Saccharomyces cerevisiae S288C: one gene and its partner. Changing the gene in region 1 together with any one later gene gives a genetic interaction. Each region holds a gene or a part of one and is shown on either strand. Other genes may lie near its edges.

Evidence for each region. A genetic interaction does not mean that the proteins touch.
Region 2: mutations in ECM8 (region 1) and NCR1 together harm fitness more than expected from each alone (negative genetic interaction), as found in Saccharomyces cerevisiae (2 studies listed by BioGRID).

What each region holds. Positions count from the first base shown.
Region 1 is NC_001134.8:387,750-391,791, reverse strand, and holds ECM8 (Ecm8p), read right to left. Parts: upstream 1,566-4,042; coding exon 501-1,565; downstream 1-500. Other genes in the region: PFF1 (Pff1p), read right to left, coding at 2,576-4,042. UniProt on the Saccharomyces cerevisiae protein: May be involved in cell wall organization and biogenesis.
Region 2 is NC_001148.4:543,078-549,398, forward strand, and holds NCR1 (sphingolipid transporter), read left to right. Parts: upstream 1-1,553; coding exon 1,554-5,066; downstream 5,067-6,321. Other genes in the region: transcription factor TFIIIC subunit TFC8, read right to left, coding at 1-771; AEP3 (Aep3p), read left to right, coding at 5,409-6,321. UniProt on the Saccharomyces cerevisiae protein: Involved in sphingolipid trafficking. May recycle sphingolipids between cellular membranous compartments.

The sequences.
Region 1 (4,042 bases):
ATGTATCGAGGCCACACCTTTTCATGCGTCTCCGGATGGGGGCTGGAAAAAACAATGCGAACAGTCTATAAATAAACACATTTTCGCAGGGACAGAGTTTACGCAGACACGCCATTTACATAAGCTTGATTACGCGGATTGCCGTGGTGCACTTTCGTGCACTCGCACATATATATGCACGTACATAAGGGCCTCATCTTCCTCTCCTTTTTTTCCCCCATCTACCTATCGCTGTTATTGAACGGAAGCATCTTCTTTTTTTATTATGCTCAGAGGGCCCTACATGACAGCTTTTTTTTCCCCAATGAGCTGCTACGGTGCCAGATCTGCTTATGTTCATTATTTTGGATGGTAACCGTTATAAATTTAAAGCGTTTCTTCGCTAGGATGGTGAATATTAGTATTTATCAGCCGTCTCGTAATCGTTTAGTTCGTTACTAGCGGCAAATTTTGTTTGATTTGTTATATGATCATTTATTTTTAATATCTTGCGTACACAATCAATTGCTTTTTGTTATAACTTGGACATATAAACATTTCGTTCGGAACGTGGCTAAGTCGCATTGGATGTAGTGTGTAAAATAATTCTCGTATATACCTTCAATGTCTTCTCTATTGCGTGTTTGAATATACGACATCCCATTATAATCAGCATTGAGGTTTCTTAGAGACTCGAAATCCTGAAAGGAATCCCTAATGATTTCATCGTATTCACACCAACCCAAACGGATCCAATTTTCGCAGTGGGGGCATTTCACATGGATTCTCCTAAATCCCCCGTTCAACGTTTGAGTGTAGTAGGCCAAAGGAGAGGGAATGATGGATACAGTAAGAGAGTTCAAAATTTTTTTGCTAAACTCTGGCTCTTTTAATACTTGAATTTTGAAATTAAGTTTTCCCTGGATTTTTAACAGCTTAGACTCGAAATGGTATAAAGTGTGAGGCTTAAATTCAGACAAAATGCCGTGCGCAAAGAATAAATGTTTTAGGTAGTTTTCAGCTAGAATCCAATTATTCCCCTGGCAAAATCTGCACATCAATTCCTTTTTCTTTTCAGAGTATCGCATGTATTTATACATTATCAGAGAATCCAGACTGTTGGGGTTTGACTCTTCGGTATTGGATCTACTAGTATTGTATAGTGCCTGTACACATGCTGAGGGGGGACAATTTTGATTTCTTTTTATTTTATAACCAAATTCGGAGTATCTGTCTTTCATCCAGCCTCGGATACTGTGATGTTGGAAACACCTTGGAAGAAAAATCAGTTGCTTAGAAATACTTTTAAACACATGCTTACAATCAGTGTTGGCTTTACCAAAGTCAAAATTTTCGCTATCGTTGAATATTTTCCTTTGTGGGAATATTTTGTTCTTGATGGTTTTTCTTTTGAGTGATCCACTATTATTGGATACATTCGTGGTGTCCGTTAAAACCCTCGAAAGAGTGGATGTTGAAGAGTCAGGTCTTTTAGACTGTGTAAATTCAGCATTACTGTCTATCCAAAAATCCACACCATTTGTTTCTTCAATACGTTGTGCGGGAAAAAAGTAGCCATAGTCCATCTTAAGGCTTTTAAATAGCTAATATTAAATACTGTTAGGATAGCAAGAGTGGGTGATTTATTCGTTAGAAATATACGAGTCAATAAAGTCTAGTACCGAATTAATGTATTAGCGAACAAATTCTTGTGGTTTTTTATGAAATCATCACTACTTCAATGTGTTAAGGTGTATTTTCGAAACATTTTTCGGCGCTGCCAGTAAGACGTACGACCCTTTTTTTAGTGTCAGTAACTATAAAATTATGACGTCCGAGAATAGCGTAGAAATTAAAAAGGGTAACAATGATATCTAGCAGCTTTCAAAAAAGGGAAGGGCGGCACAGAACCTTACATTGGACAATGCTTTGCCTTCACTTATACGATATTTTGCATTTTTTTGCTATCAAGATTTGGTTAATACTGTATCGTGTAAATTGAGATCCCACCTCCAAAACTTGCTTTTGGACAAAGCGATATATTAAAATAACTTAAATATCCGCTTAACCAAGCTCTTGATCCAAACGATATCCGGCTATAGTCAATCACAATCCCTGAAGAACCATTTCCAAGACCATTATCTTTATACTTAATAAATATATAGATTTACAGGTTATTTGTATATCGCTAGCATTATTGCGTGCTATTTTCTAATAGTTACTGGAGGGTTATATAATTTAGGACTTTATAAAAACGAGCATTGTATGCACTTGCAGCAGTGTAGAACTTATCTGACGAAACATGTTTCTTACTTTGTTAACTGATATCATTAGTGATTTTCAATACCGTCTGAATATCCACTATAGCTGTCTTTAGCGCTACGAAGAGAGCACCGTAGAATGGTTCCAGACGGATTCTTGGCCAGTAAAGTACATTCATAAGTTAAACTCAATAGTTTTTCCTTTTGTTACGAAAAATTTCTCAAAATATTTTTTATTATTTTGTTCTTCTTGTGGGAAGAAGCGAAGCCTTTGGACAACTCCCCCAGTAGGCGAATTTGAGTTTATAAAAATTTACATTTAAAACTAATTAGAATTATAAAATTATAGCATCCTTGACAATAACTAATCCTTTCTGTTCGTTGGTAAAGGAAAAACTTAGAGGTGCGTAATTTATCAATTCATCAAATGCTGGAATTTTCCTAACAGCGGTACCATTTACAACCGATTCCGAATCATATTCTCCCCAATAACAGCTAATAGAAACAGACAGTTCGTCTTTTGTCCCCAACTTGTCATCCTCTACATTTCCATCCGTCAAAAGTTTTGGAAACCACTGGACTCCGATATGGTAAGTTTCCTGATCGAAATCAAGTTTATGCAATTGCAGTTCGTTTATGCCAGAAGCAGACTTGATCGTCTTCGTGATATTAGCTTTCTGTGGGGCCGAATTTTTCTTTTGATATACCGTGATTTCTCTGACAGGTGACTTCGCCTGATGTCTACTTTCAAAAGTTAAAGTGCAAGCCCTGTTCTCCTTCACCTCCAAAAGTAACTCTGCAACTATTGGTTCGTAAGGAGATCTCTCTGTTGAGTTTCGGTTATTATGTAAAACATGAACCTTGACCATACTGCTGATGTTCGTATTTCCATTCGTGCTCAATAAATTAGGTTGCATTCCATCATACATACAAAGTTCCATTCCATTGGTTACGGAAGTACAGTTAATATGTGTAGAGCTATATTTTATACTTGGTAAATCTTGCAGCATAGGTTTTAAAAAATTTCCTTCTCTTCCAAGGACATGTACACTGGCAGCGTTCCCTTGAGACAAATCAATATTTTGAGAAAACCTTACTTTTAATGGGTTACTATTGGTAAAGGGGTGCACTAGGAGCGTTTTGGATGCGGAAATCAAGAAAAGCAGTGCAGTTAAAGAAATTGTGATATAGTTGACCTTATAGAAAAAAGGTAAAATTGGTAGCGCGATCAAAATACTGCCCACCATTCCGAACCTGAGTACATCAAATGTAGCCTTACTTCCTTCCTGGACAGTATGGTTTAGTGCGTCCATGATAACATCCACACTGTTAAACAAAATAAATGATGGTATTGGTACAATTAGCAAAAATTGAATGATCCAGGCATAATCGGTATACTCAAGTTTTAGAGAATTTTCTCTAGTACTCAATCCTTCCTCCATGCTATTAGACCCCTTCAGTAATGGTACCCTTTCATCATGTTGTTGTGACGATGAATCCATACCATGATCCTCGTCAACATTATGTGATGGGCCAGCTGAAGTAGTTGACACATTATCATCTTGGATACTTGCTTGATCGTCTTGTGACGATGTAAGTTGATCTTGGGGTTGTTCCAAGTTTTCCTGACCGTCTCGTTCCATATCTATTTGAGAATGGGAGCTGTAATTGGAGTGATGGTCCCTACATTCTCTACCAAGCCTCTTCCTTGTTCTCATTCCCAACGCTAGTGCAAGTAGTCTCAATATAGCAGCTATTGTGCTCAGAAGAAAGAAAATCGAGAGAGGATAAAGCCCGGTATA
Region 2 (6,321 bases), on another chromosome or scaffold:
AATTGAATAATTTTTTAAATCTATCTTATGCACATATCCGGGACAAGTTAAAACCACCTTATAATCCACTATCTTTAAATCAGTAATTTTTCTTCTCGAAGCATTTTGTATCATTCTAGAAACGGGTTGATGAGAGGAAGCAGAAACTGTCATTGAAAATACAGAATTGTTTGAAAGCGCCGCTACAAGAACGTCTTCGTACCATACTATATGAGTGACCCAGTCTTTTGAGCCTGCGTCACTTAATCTAATACTACTCTCAAAATAAAATTCTGGAGTATTTTCTGAATTTTTGCGAATGCTAAAGAATTGAAGCTCACCGTCTTCATTACCAACCACGATTGATGATTCAATAGGATTCCATTCAAAACAATGGTAGGTTCTGCTACTTAAGTTTCCTTTTGAATCGAGATTTGTGAGCATTTTGTTATCTTTGAACACAGAAACATTACCATTATTGCTCAATACGGCCATCCAATCGTCTATTGGTGATGGCTTACAGACTCTGGGATAACAAACAGGTTGTGAATTTAATAACCCATTCTGTTGCGCCAGCTCGAAATCCAGTTTATTTTCAAATTCTAGCGGGAATTCTTTCACATGAAATAAATTCTTACTGTTGCAATTAATGTCTTTAGCATATTTTGGCTGCCCAATGCTAATATCAGGAAATGTGGTCAAATATAGAGTACCATCCCGAGCCCATGTTAAATTGTTCTTCCAATCCTCAAATTCCTTTCTATCTACCAATAAGTCCTTTAGAAGCTTCATTATGAATTGAATTGGCTTTCCTAACTCCTAACAAAGTTAGTCATGCTGCTTTTTTCATTATATATAATTCTGTCTAATCATTGTTTAGATCTCATTATTGAGAAAAGTGCGTTGCGCGTAAGAAACAGAATACACTTAAGGTGCGAAATGACGGAAGAAATACGCCATTTAAAGCCTTCCAATACGAAGCAAAACTTCAAAAGCAAATGCTGGGAAGTTGGATTATCTTTGGGAAGGTCTATTTCCTTTTTTATTGAAATAAATCATTCAGCTAATTGCATACCGTGGCTAATGTCACAACAGATGTAAGCAACAATTTAATCTTACATAAATGTGTTGCAGTTGTGGTATTTCGTAATATATACGCAATGATTCTCTCCTATTATTGAACTGCTATGCAGGTATTCGCTACATTGTTTTTCTACAGGCAGTCGTCGACATAAATAACTTGTATAATCATTTAAGCGCATCCCAGTAATTAACTATTACCGAACGATAGAGTAGTCAAGATATTCTCTTCCCATCACTAACATCAAGAGCGCCACTTTTTGGCAATTAAACTAGACTTCTGGATGGCGCTAGCCCATTACCTACAGTACTAAAGATTATTTGCGATATTCTGATAAAGAGCCTTGAACTTCTCGGGTGACCCCCTTAGCGTTTATATAGCGGGAGTGCCAAACGAGAGGAACATCAACAACCAGTATAACAACGTTCTTGTGTAGAAGATAACTAAATTCATCTCCAAAAAGAACAAGAGCAGAACTTCAATTAGTAAAACCATGAATGTGCTATGGATTATAGCACTAGTTGGCCAGCTGATGCGGCTCGTTCAGGGAACAGCTACCTGTGCCATGTATGGGAACTGTGGGAAAAAGTCAGTATTTGGAAACGAATTACCTTGCCCTGTGCCACGTAGTTTTGAACCTCCTGTTCTTTCAGATGAAACAAGCAAACTTTTGGTTGAAGTTTGTGGTGAAGAGTGGAAAGAGGTCCGTTATGCCTGCTGTACTAAAGATCAAGTGGTAGCACTGAGAGATAACCTACAAAAGGCTCAACCTTTAATTTCCTCATGCCCAGCATGCCTCAAGAATTTTAATAACCTGTTCTGTCACTTCACTTGCGCTGCTGACCAAGGAAGGTTTGTCAATATTACCAAGGTAGAAAAGTCAAAAGAAGATAAAGATATTGTTGCGGAATTAGACGTTTTCATGAATTCGTCTTGGGCATCTGAATTTTATGACTCATGTAAGAATATTAAATTTTCTGCTACCAACGGTTATGCGATGGACCTAATCGGAGGTGGTGCTAAAAATTACAGTCAATTCTTGAAGTTTTTGGGGGATGCTAAACCTATGCTTGGTGGATCCCCCTTTCAGATTAATTACAAGTATGATTTAGCAAATGAAGAAAAAGAATGGCAGGAATTTAATGATGAGGTTTATGCTTGCGATGATGCTCAATATAAATGTGCGTGTTCTGATTGTCAAGAGTCTTGCCCCCATTTAAAACCTTTAAAAGATGGCGTGTGTAAAGTTGGCCCTCTGCCATGTTTTTCCCTTTCTGTTCTGATCTTTTACACAATCTGTGCACTTTTTGCATTTATGTGGTATTATCTCTGTAAAAGAAAAAAAAACGGGGCAATGATTGTGGACGACGATATTGTTCCAGAATCAGGTTCCTTAGATGAATCAGAGACGAATGTATTCGAAAGTTTCAATAATGAAACTAACTTTTTTAATGGTAAACTCGCTAACCTATTTACGAAAGTGGGACAATTTTCCGTTGAAAACCCCTACAAGATATTAATAACCACTGTTTTTAGTATCTTTGTATTCAGTTTCATCATATTTCAGTACGCTACTCTTGAAACAGATCCAATTAATTTGTGGGTGAGTAAAAATTCTGAAAAATTCAAAGAAAAAGAGTACTTCGATGATAATTTTGGGCCATTTTACAGGACAGAGCAAATATTTGTTGTGAATGAGACAGGCCCTGTGTTATCATATGAGACACTTCACTGGTGGTTTGACGTTGAAAATTTTATTACGGAAGAGCTACAATCGTCAGAAAATATTGGATACCAAGATCTCTGCTTCAGACCAACAGAAGATTCTACATGCGTAATAGAGTCTTTTACTCAGTATTTTCAGGGGGCCTTACCAAACAAGGATAGCTGGAAAAGGGAACTGCAGGAATGTGGGAAATTTCCTGTAAACTGTCTACCTACTTTCCAGCAACCTCTAAAAACTAATCTTCTTTTCAGTGACGATGATATTCTCAATGCGCATGCGTTTGTTGTAACACTTCTATTGACCAACCACACTCAATCAGCTAATCGCTGGGAAGAAAGATTGGAAGAGTATTTATTGGATTTAAAGGTCCCCGAGGGCCTGAGGATCAGTTTTAATACCGAAATATCCTTGGAAAAAGAGCTTAATAATAATAATGATATCTCGACCGTTGCAATATCATACCTGATGATGTTTTTATATGCTACATGGGCCTTGAGGAGAAAGGATGGGAAAACTAGGTTGTTACTTGGAATATCTGGTTTACTCATAGTTTTGGCTTCTATTGTTTGTGCAGCCGGATTTTTAACTCTTTTTGGTTTGAAGTCGACATTGATCATAGCAGAAGTAATACCGTTTCTAATTTTAGCAATAGGAATAGATAATATTTTCTTGATTACACATGAGTATGATAGAAATTGCGAGCAAAAACCGGAGTATTCAATTGATCAAAAAATAATAAGCGCTATCGGGAGAATGTCTCCTTCCATTTTAATGTCATTGCTATGTCAAACCGGATGCTTCTTGATAGCTGCATTTGTTACAATGCCAGCTGTCCATAATTTTGCTATATATTCCACAGTTTCTGTTATATTCAACGGAGTATTACAGCTAACAGCGTATGTGTCCATTTTGTCTCTCTACGAAAAGAGATCCAATTATAAACAAATTACCGGAAATGAAGAAACTAAGGAATCATTTTTGAAAACGTTTTATTTTAAGATGTTAACGCAAAAGAGGCTCATAATCATTATCTTCTCGGCTTGGTTTTTCACATCTCTGGTTTTCTTACCAGAAATTCAATTTGGGCTAGATCAAACATTGGCTGTTCCACAGGATTCCTACCTGGTTGACTATTTTAAGGATGTTTATAGCTTCCTAAACGTAGGACCACCGGTTTACATGGTCGTGAAGAATTTAGATTTGACTAAAAGACAAAACCAACAGAAAATATGTGGTAAATTTACAACTTGCGAAAGAGACTCATTAGCTAATGTACTGGAGCAAGAAAGACACAGGTCAACAATTACGGAGCCATTGGCTAATTGGCTGGACGATTATTTCATGTTTTTAAATCCTCAAAACGACCAGTGTTGTAGATTAAAGAAGGGAACAGATGAGGTTTGTCCTCCCTCTTTTCCAAGTAGACGTTGTGAAACTTGTTTCCAGCAGGGTTCTTGGAATTACAACATGTCAGGGTTTCCTGAGGGCAAGGACTTCATGGAATACCTAAGCATATGGATTAATGCGCCTAGTGACCCCTGCCCTCTAGGTGGTCGTGCGCCATATTCGACTGCGTTAGTTTATAATGAAACGAGTGTGTCTGCGTCAGTTTTCAGAACAGCTCATCATCCTTTGAGATCCCAAAAGGACTTTATCCAGGCGTATAGTGATGGAGTTAGGATATCAAGTTCTTTCCCCGAACTAGATATGTTTGCATACTCGCCGTTTTACATTTTTTTTGTTCAATATCAAACTTTGGGACCATTGACGTTGAAGCTAATAGGGAGTGCCATTATCCTAATTTTTTTCATTTCATCTGTTTTCTTGCAGAATATACGCAGCTCATTCTTACTGGCTTTGGTCGTTACCATGATTATCGTAGATATTGGTGCTTTGATGGCCCTACTAGGTATCTCACTCAACGCTGTCAGTTTAGTCAATTTAATTATTTGTGTCGGTTTGGGTGTCGAGTTTTGTGTTCATATTGTTAGATCATTTACAGTGGTCCCCAGTGAAACCAAGAAAGACGCAAACTCAAGAGTTCTCTATTCCTTGAATACCATAGGTGAGTCCGTCATCAAAGGTATAACTCTAACCAAATTCATTGGAGTTTGTGTACTTGCATTCGCCCAATCGAAAATATTTGATGTATTTTACTTTAGAATGTGGTTTACACTAATCATTGTAGCAGCATTGCATGCTCTCCTATTTTTACCTGCTTTACTTTCATTGTTTGGTGGTGAAAGCTATAGGGACGATTCCATCGAAGCAGAAGATTAGCCATAGCAGATTATACTATATTTTACGTAGTGAAAAAATAGGTAAAAATTCGTTAATTATTCTGATGCCACACCAGAAAATCTGTGGGAAAATTTTTCGAGTCAGAAATGATAACACTAACACAGGCTTCGTTGTTATCGTGCATTGAAGTTAGATACTTCTACTATATTTAATCTTTAATAGTGTCATAAAAGTATTATTGGTTTCGGGCGAAAATCGTCATTTTCGCACACAGAACTTCAAAAGAGGAAAGGCCAAAAGAACTAAAACCGATTACTTCGGGGTGATTTTGTTCTGGCATCTTCTGGCACTCTTGGGCATCCTTAGCCATTTAGTATATTTATGAATACATTAAGGTGTTTGACACAAGCACTATCCAAAAGTGGGAGAGAAGCTCCAAAACTATATCAGAAAGTAATATTTCCAGGCCTGTTCAGAGAGGGTATACCAATTGCAAATGTCAAGAAAGTTGATGAAAAAATAATAGATAGCCCAACATCAACGTCAGTTAATGGAGAGGCAAAAAAAATAGTACGGCATGGTGTGAAGTATGAAAGGGAGCAAGTTAAGGAATACCTTTCAAGCCTGCCGACTTTAACGCTTTCTAGGAAACAAATTAGGGATGACTATGATGAGGAACGTGCAAAACGAATGTATATGTTCTCTAAACAAACGAATTCCTCGAATAAATTCCAGAAACTTCTTACAGCAAAGTCTCAAGAGTTTACTAGAGAACTATTGACGCTACTGATAGATTGCACATCGAATGAGAAGAATTCAGGGCCAGAACGCTTCACTCGTAAGTTTCTTAAGTTTAGTAATGACGAGATCCCTCCTCTCCCTGACTTTTCAAAGAACCCTCAATTGTTTGAAAATTATATTGGAATACTAAGTCATACAAAGTTCAATTTTCGTTCATCTTCCAAACTAAATGGTATTGTGCGTAAGATGCTGCGGCACCTACTTCATCCAACCAATAAGACGACTCTGCCGTTGCGTTCTGCTCAAGTTTATAATGACTCAATATACTTTTTCAGTGAGCACTTCGACTTTGCGTCTTGTAGAGAAATATTTGCACAAATGAAGGCTGAGGGGACTAAACCAAATACAATCACTTTTAATCTTTTACTGCGTAATGTAGTGAAAAACTCGCATATTAGAAAAACGAAGCACCCTGACGATGAGGTCCTTTTTTATCTTAGAAGTATGCGTAATCATGGAGTTTTTGCAGATGTAATAACTTGGACGACATGTT